Neurospora crassa OR74A: one gene and its partner. The protein of the gene in region 2 interacts with the protein of the main gene of each other region in a pairwise test. Links are inferred from orthologs where the notes say so. Each region holds a gene or a part of one and is shown on either strand. Other genes may lie near its edges.

The links. The genes of interacting proteins can lie anywhere in the genome.
Region 1: the proteins of rho-1 (region 2) and rgf1 interact in a two-hybrid assay, tested with the Saccharomyces cerevisiae proteins (3 studies listed by BioGRID, with this or other methods). The link is inferred for Neurospora crassa OR74A from reciprocal best matches to the Saccharomyces cerevisiae genes RHO1 and ROM2.

The regions. Positions count from the first base shown.
Region 1 is NC_026501.1:7,628,792-7,632,731, forward strand, and holds the start of rgf1 (rho guanyl nucleotide exchange factor), read right to left. Parts: upstream 2,801-3,940; 5' UTR 2,318-2,800; coding exon 1-2,317. UniProt on the Saccharomyces cerevisiae protein: Stimulates the exchange of RHO1 GDP-bound form into GTP-bound form.
Region 2 is NC_026502.1:3,340,894-3,344,999, reverse strand, and holds rho-1 (rho-type GTPase), read right to left. Parts: upstream 2,801-4,106; 5' UTR 2,339-2,800; coding exon 2,268-2,338; intron 2,132-2,267; coding exon 2,104-2,131; intron 1,840-2,103; coding exon 1,642-1,839; intron 1,571-1,641; coding exon 1,436-1,570; intron 1,335-1,435; coding exon 1,179-1,334; 3' UTR 300-1,178; downstream 1-299. UniProt on the Saccharomyces cerevisiae protein: Acts as a central regulator in the cell wall integrity signaling pathway, which is regulated by the cell cycle and in response to various types of cell wall stress.

The DNA of each region.
Region 1 (3,940 bases), on a different chromosome or scaffold from region 2:
TCTTGTCGTTGGGGCGGAACTTGAGCTGCTCGTGCAGACGGCGCAGGTTGAAGCGGTTTTCAGCCTTGCCCGACTCCGCGTTAACCCTGCTCAAGAGATCTCTGATCATAGTCAGGACCTTGGGAAGATCCTCCTTGTCCGGATTACCTTCTTCCGTATACTTGAGAACGTTTTCTAGAAGTAGAGGATATCTCGCCAGACGTGTGGTTGGCTTGGTGAGGTAACCGTTCAGCTCCAGCTTTCTCGACTCTCTGCGGCGTTCAACCTCGTCCACAAATCTTGCAAAGTCCTTGTTGATGGACCGTTCGTTCTCGAATTCGAATTTGCCTTCCAGCTGCTTCGCACCGTAAAGGATGAATGGTTCGAATTGAGGGACAAATTCCAAAAAGATATCTCCAATATTTTGAACGACTGGCGTCTTTTGTTGCCGTTCAGTGAGACTCTTGGCGAACTTTGAACTGACGCCGTGAATGCTTGGAGGATCGATAATGTTGGTGAAGATTGTCCGTACAACGCGCTCCCGCCGTTGTAGAGGAATCGGAGAATGGCCGTTGATCTTGCCCTTGAGAGGGTAGATCCAGAAATCTCGCAGATACTCGAGATCCTTGACAAAGTCCCTTTCTGTGTAGCAGATCTCACTAATAACCTCTTGCCTCTTCTTCTCTCTGTCGCCGATACTGTCCGCAATCTCCTTTGGTACGCTGTTAATCCACAACTTTTGCTCGTCGGTCTGGTCAACATCGTCATCGTTGACCGCGGCTTTTCCTTCTTGCTTGAGGCCAATTCCTCCCTTCAGGTTCAGCTTGGCCATTTGCTCGAGACGGCGAGGGCATGCGATAGAGTAGCAGAGCTGATCGGGTGTGCATGTTGGAGAGTAACATTCGGATAGCAGGACAAAAACACCATTGACCGCTGGCTTCTCGTCATCGGTCAGTGTTTCCCTGAATTGGTACATTTCGTAGGTTGAATCTCTCAGGCGGTGTTCGTAGGTAACATCGTGGAAGAACTTTTGGGCGTCCAAAGCTCTACCCAGCAACAGGGCCAAGTTTCGATCCGTCGTCCTGATAATGTATGACAGCACATCGACGGCTTCGGCACCGCTGAAAGCGTTCTTGTAGGTCAGTTCGTTCTTGGTCCTATCTCCTACAACAATCTTGCGCCGGAACGTTTCGGCCACGCGGGACAGAAGAGCCGGGTATACCAGAGGCATCCTGATTTTGACGGTAACGGGCCGGTCGCCCGTCATGGACGATGCGCCGCCCGAGTAGCGATGTACCAAGGTCCCATCTTCGTTCCGTTCCGTCGGCGCTATCGAAGGAGCGATAGTGGACGCCATGGACATGGTTCGCCCATTCGGGTCGACGGTTGTCGTGGACGTGATGCTGACCGTTCTTCCCGACTGGCTTCCGGGAGCTGGGTATTGCGAAGGGGCAGGGCCATGGTCTGGGCTGGATCCTGGTGCCCTCCTGTTGGGTATGACTCTTCCGCTAGGAGTTTGGTGGGCATCGCGGTCGTATGAGGGGTAGCCGGTCATGGACATGGCACGGTCTTCCATATGCCTCTCGGGCACAATGCGCCCCTGTGCGGTTGTCCGAGCCGAGCTCCCAGTGTATTGAGCCTGGCGGAAAGCGTTGGCTGGCGACTGTTGCGGGGTCGAACCCTGATACATCTGTGGCCGGGGAACGCTCGCAAGCGACTGTGATCGGTAGGGGTCGGAGTTCAAGGCCGGCGCCGGTCTGCCCCCCGGCTGGTTGTAATAAGCCTGGGCAGGAGATCGCGAGGCATTGTTGTAGAAACCCTGGGGCGCAGGGCCCCTAAGAGAATCGGCCCTCACAGAGTCGCCCCTCGGAGCATGTTGAGGGGGGTAGGCGCCAGGAGGGGGTCGTCGCGCCGCTTGTTGTTGTTGTAGGTACTGAGCAGAGGGAACTTGCTGTCCGGCGGAGACGGAGCGCTGGCTCTGGCCGTATCCATTCGTGTCAAGGCGCGCCCGGGGGTCACCATAGCCTCCTCTTTCCCCTGATCCACTGCCTCCTCCTCCGGGTCCGCCGGGCGGTGGGGGGCGCTGTTGCGGCGGTCTCTGCATGGAGGCTCCCGACGTGGACGACATGGTATGGGTTCGGCCCTCGTTGAGGTGCATCATAGGGGGTGGGACGGAGGAAGTCATGGTATGCGATCGGCCGGGGGGCGGGGCGGCGCCGAAGATGTTGGAGAAGGCGGCATCTCGTTGTCCGTAGCCGTCACCACCGCGACTGCCGGGGGGAGGGCCGTACTGCGGGTGATTGGATCGGGACCGGGGGTCTTGATGATAGTCGGCCATGACGGCGGCGGCGGGCGGGCGGGCGGACGGCTGGCGAGGGAGGCGAGTCGGGTGGTGCTGCTGGTGCGATGCAGGCTAGAGGTTGATGCGAGGTGCTCGCTCGCTCGCTCGCTCCTGTCGTAGGTATTTCGATTGTTCTTCGGTCGGCGGCGGTGCTGGGGCGCTGTACAGGTACGGTAGGGTAGGTAGGTAGGTAGGTAGGTAGGTCTGATGGACAGGTCGATTCGGTAGAGGTACGAAACTGTGCAGGCAATCTGCAATCTACTCGCCAAGTGTAGCCGACCACCTGCGCAGCAAGAAGCACGGCCTTCAGTTGGTCTACCTCTCTGTCGTCGATTGGAACACGGTAGACGGGGACGGGGACGGAGACGGAGACGGAGACGGAGAGGGGGAGAGGAACTGAAGGGTCAAGGTCGCCAATGTACGGGTACGGGGCTGGAATGTCGAACTACACTCCTACAGCCAGGCCAGGGCAGAGGTGTGCGGTGGATGATGGCTGATGGGATGGCTGATGGGACCCGACCGAATGACCGACCACTGAGCGCAGGGCTTCTACAGGGGCCATTTGCAATCAAAAGTGGAGCATCAGGAACCAGCGTGGGCTTTGATCTGGTCCCGTCTTCCTTGGTTGGCTGCATCTGGATCAACGACGGGACTCTTGACCACAGCTAGCTACCTAACTTTTGATGTTCAGATGTTAGAGGTAGGTGCAGGTGAAGAGGCAGATACGCCAAGCATGGCAGTGGTCTGGTCAAAAATGAGAAACATCACGATACAACAAGAACGTGAAGATGGAACGTCAAGATGGAGGGAGGAGGATGGTATTATTCTAGATGGGCTGTCCTATCACATCCCCCGTTCTTGATAGCTTGTCCTGCCCGGGTTGGCTGTGCCGCCAGATGGCCGATCAGTCGGATTGTTTACGAGGGTGCAGCAAAATACCTATGCCCGCGTGCGCTCCGAGGTCGTTTTGTTGCACTTCCGGGCGGTTGTGATACGGAATGGGGGCTGATGTTATACTGGGAGAAGCCGTGTAGATGCGTAAAAAGTCATGTCCCGGTCAACTTTTCTAGATCTGGGGTTCAAGAGATTTTAATCAAGAAGTTCAGCGAGATGAACTGGGTTGATGTTCAGCTTGCGATGGGGAGATCGAATTGTCACTTGTTGCTCGGTGGTTAGGCGATCCACCAGGTCAGAACGTTGTTGTTCCTAGAATTGCGGGGAGGCGATTCCCCGTCGACTAGGGGCACAAAAGGGGTTCAACTTATTACAACTTCGAGTCCATCCTTGACTGTTTTTGGAATCTGCGATAGAGCATCATCCAGTATAGAGAATTTCTCATCCAAGTGGCACGGCGTTGAATAGCGATGATGCCATTGGCACTGAGCAAGGCTGAGGAAGTGTGAAAGACTCGACGATATGATTCCATTGTTAGGTGGTTGGAGGCAGCCCTATCTCCAATCAAGTCAATCCTACTGTCACTGTGTTCGTCAAGCGGGGTTCGTATGAACAATGAGAGGGTTACCCGAAATGTCAGAACACCATGCAATCAATGTCTTTAACGCACTGGTTCAAGTACGGTTGAGCTTACACAAATAAGGGGAACAGAATCATGAGAGCGTC
Region 2 (4,106 bases):
TTCCCCCCTCTGTTGGCTATGATGAAGAAGTCCCAGAGAGTGTTCGAGATGCAAAGTGTATAATGTATGGCACATCATAGCTTACTTGCAAGTGTTAGCTTCGTTGGCTGTCAAGACCAATCATGCCTTTCTGGCATACCTCACGCGCTGAGTGTGATGACTCGGGAACATTAACTAGGTTTACCCTTGATAGACATGACGTCCTTCATTCAATCAACTGTTTCACGTTTGGGTCTGGAGCTGGCGGCGGCCTCTCCCGTCGGATTGCATAGTCGGCAAAGCGTGATGATTACTGAACTTCGGATTCAAAGACTAAGTAGACAAACGGGCTGACTGACGTAGAAGAAGTCTGTGCTCGTGTCAGTGGTTGACATGAGTATTGCAAGAGGGGACGGGCAATGAATGGTCTGAGGATGTACAGTAGGTAACAGCAATTGTCGTCAACGGTCTATGGAAGTAGCAGGGACATTCGGCGGCCTCGCCATGCCGATCGCCCAAACTATACGGAACATTCAATCTCAAAATCCCAATTTGAACCATGCAGCGGCAGCAGCAGACGGAGACAGATAAACAAGAACGCGATAAAACTAGAGATTAATAACAGACAGGTAGACACAGAGAGAGAGATAAGAGACAGACGCACACGGGCAGTGACAGAGAAAGAGAAATAAAGGAGACAGGTAAGGGGGGCCAGAGACGCGGCATGTGATTCCAGAAGAAACAAGAAATATTGAACCGCAAAACTCCTTTCTCCAGTCTTTCTCTTTCCCTTTACCGCCCTCAGGTGTCCTCCGTTTGTGTATACATGAACACAAGCCACGCACCCGTCCACGCCGACCACACACACACACAGAAATAGTGGAAAGGAGTCCAGACCCAGTTATCCTCCCTAAATATCGAGTAGTAAGGCCCATAAGTATCCCCGAAATCCCAAGCCCCTCCCCATTTGCGCTCTCCACACCCCTTTCTTCTTCTCTCTGTGAAATATTATCCGCTCGGTAGCAGCATTGACGGCGTCATGGGCAGAGAATTATCAACTAAGGTGATGATCATCTTTCGCTTTGAAAACCGTTGCTTGATTACATGTTGCGAGGCTATCCGGGGAGGGCTTGGTGCAGATGATGTTGTTCGTCGTGCGGTAGAAATAAAAGCATCTCTCTAAAGAGCTGTGGGTTTGTTTAGACCGAGCTCTTGCAGAGGCCCCTCTTCGTCTTTGTCTTCTTGAGAAGGGCGGCTCTTGTCGCGTTCTCGAACACCTCACGGACACCCTCGTTGGTCTTGGCCGAGCACTCGAGGTACTTGTGGGCGTTGATCCTCTTCCTCAGAGCCTCACCCTGTTGATGAGCGCGTTAGCATACATTCCCGAGCAAGCGGAGGGAAAGCACTTGGAAACAAAAGGGGCATCATCAGCCGCCAATGTCTCAGCCTCACGTACCTCTTCGGGGGAAACGGGCTTCTGGCTGGTCTTGCGGAGCTCCTCAATGGTCTTGGGGTCGTGGCGCAAATCCTTCTTGCAGCCAACGAGGATGATTGGAACGTCACGGCAGAAGTGAAGAACCTCAGAGTGCCACTGTTTTTGATTGTTAGCGAATTGTAGCCTCAAAGACAAGGGCGCGCCAAGTAAGCAGGCGGGATACTGACCTTCTCGGAAACGTTGTCGAGCGAATCGGGAGAGTCGATGGCGAAGCAGATCAAGACGACGTGAGAGTCGGGGTAGGACAGGGGACGGAGACGGTCATAATCCTCCTGACCAGCCGTATCCCATAGCGCGAGCTCGACGTGTCTGCCATCAACCTCGACATCGGCGACGTAGTTCTCGAAAACGGTAGGGACGTAGACCTGGGCGCAGAGAGTTAGCTGGCTGAGCAGCGCTTATTCGGATGCGGATATGATGGCGACAGGGCGGGTGTTTCGAATTTGATGGCTTGATGGTTCATCGGGCTGAGGAGATGGATGTAGCCTGTTCGGGGGGGGAGGCGAGACGCGGGAATTGGCAGGAAGATGCGTGTTTCGTCAGGCGGTTGGGGCGGTGTAGCGAACAGACGGTCGAGGGCAGGTGTGTAGATGGACGTCTCAGTCCCGACAGACAAGTGCCTGACTTACCTCGGGGAAGGTTCCCTTGGAGAAGACGCTGGAAATTCGGTTAGCAAAAAGGTTGTGATGGGGGGAGAGCGGCGGTGACGACGACGACGACGACAACGACGACGACGCGCGCCTTATAAGAGCAGCATCAATCTCTTGGATGTGGATAGGGGAAATGGACATACATCAACAAACAGGTCTTGCCGCAGGCACCATCGCCAACGATGACGAGCTTTCGGCGGAGTTCAGCAGACATGGCGTCGGTTTGGTGGTTGTGTGAATAGGGGAGGAGAGATTAAGTTGTTTAGTTGAGTTGAGTGATGTCGACGGACGGTGCTTTGTTCGTTGTCGACGGGTTGTATGCAAAGGACGGGAGAGGGTATCACGCGGCCTGGATTTGGTCGATAAAAGATGCAAAATGGAAAAGGGAAGGAAAATGGAGATGGGGGTGTTGGGTGGTTGTTGAAGGATGGACGGTGGTGGTGGTAGGTAGGTAGGTAGTGGCCGCTGGTGGTGTGCTAACCTGTTCAAGTTGTGAGTTGTGTTGTGACGGAGACGGAGACGGGGAACGGGGACGGGGGGACCACCAGATAGCCAGGTGCAGGACTCCCACGGGCAAGGTTGGAAGAGGGTGGAAACCTTAGCCAGCGAACCAGGGCCGGGCAGTCAGACTGGGCTGGGAGGGCAGTGGGTGCTGCCGTGTGTGGTGAGGTGAGCGAGGCAGTGGGTAGCCCCAGAGAAGCCCCAGGGAACGGGCGGGCTGTCCAGGCACAGGCAGTCACTCAGTCGGGTTCACACAGTCCCATCTGGCAGCAGTCGCAGCCTGGAGGCTACAGGTACTGTGTGGTAAGAGGAAGGCAGACGACACCTACCGACCTAATTTTTCATCCAACACACTAGGTCCCTACCTAGATACTGCATTTTGTGTCGGAATACCCCATCACTTGTACAGGAGCCGGTAGGGGTGCGAGACGAGCCAAGAGCAAAGGGCCAGACAAGGGAGGTGCTGGCTTGATGTGACTTGTGAGTGGCCCGAATCCTCAGCAAGCGGTACGTACCGGTCCTCTTCTACAATTAACACCGTCACCTCCATTACCGTAATTCAGCTATTTGCACGCGAAAAGAGAGCTGATTTTGGTGATATTAATAGTGGACCGACCTTGAAATCGTCGTCGTCATGTTCCTTCCTGTTCCCCTTTTTCGCTACCCCGGACTTGCTGCATAAGGCTAATAAGGCCATCTCCCGAACATGACTCTCGACCTTTTTTTTTTTTTTTGTTTCTTCAACTTTGATGACAAGCGCAAAAGTGCACGGTGGGGACGGGCCAAATTACCACTCGAACCACTTTTAGACATCCATACCGCAGTAATCCGACACCCGACACGCTGCGCTGGCTCGGCTGGCTGTCGATCAAAGGGGGAAAGCACGCGCTGCTGCCGTGGCCCCCCAGGATTTTAGTAGTGTACTCAGAGGAAGTGGAAGCTTTGCGAGCGAGCGAAGGCAGGCGAGGCGAGTCTCCAGCAGCAAAGATGGTCCAGTGGGCGGCGGCGATAACTGCTAATCTCCAGACTGCCTGCCCAGAACCCCTGAACCAACGCCAAAAGGTACAGGAACAGGCACAGTGCGCCATGGGCCTCTTCCTTCCGGTCGCCTATTTTGGGTGTCCCTAGTGTACACTACATAGGTAGTAATTTGCTGATAGCTCTGGGCTTTGTTCTCAGCCATCCATTATCAGGGTCCAGGACTCTCTTGACAGTCTAGTAGTGAACATGGAGGAAGGGGATGGGGTGGGAGGAAGGACGGGACATGATATTAAAAACATGGAAGCTCCTGTCTTGTTGGCATACGCAGTATGTACACCACACTATACCCCATTTCCTCTCGGCTGTCGATACACTACACAGTATATACCAAGAGACGGAGCGGTCAGCAAAGTGTCGGTGCCCAGCCGCATCTAGATAGCAGACCAGTCTCTTGAATTGCGAACATCTCGGTTGCCATGGCATTGACGTGAGCTTGTTGA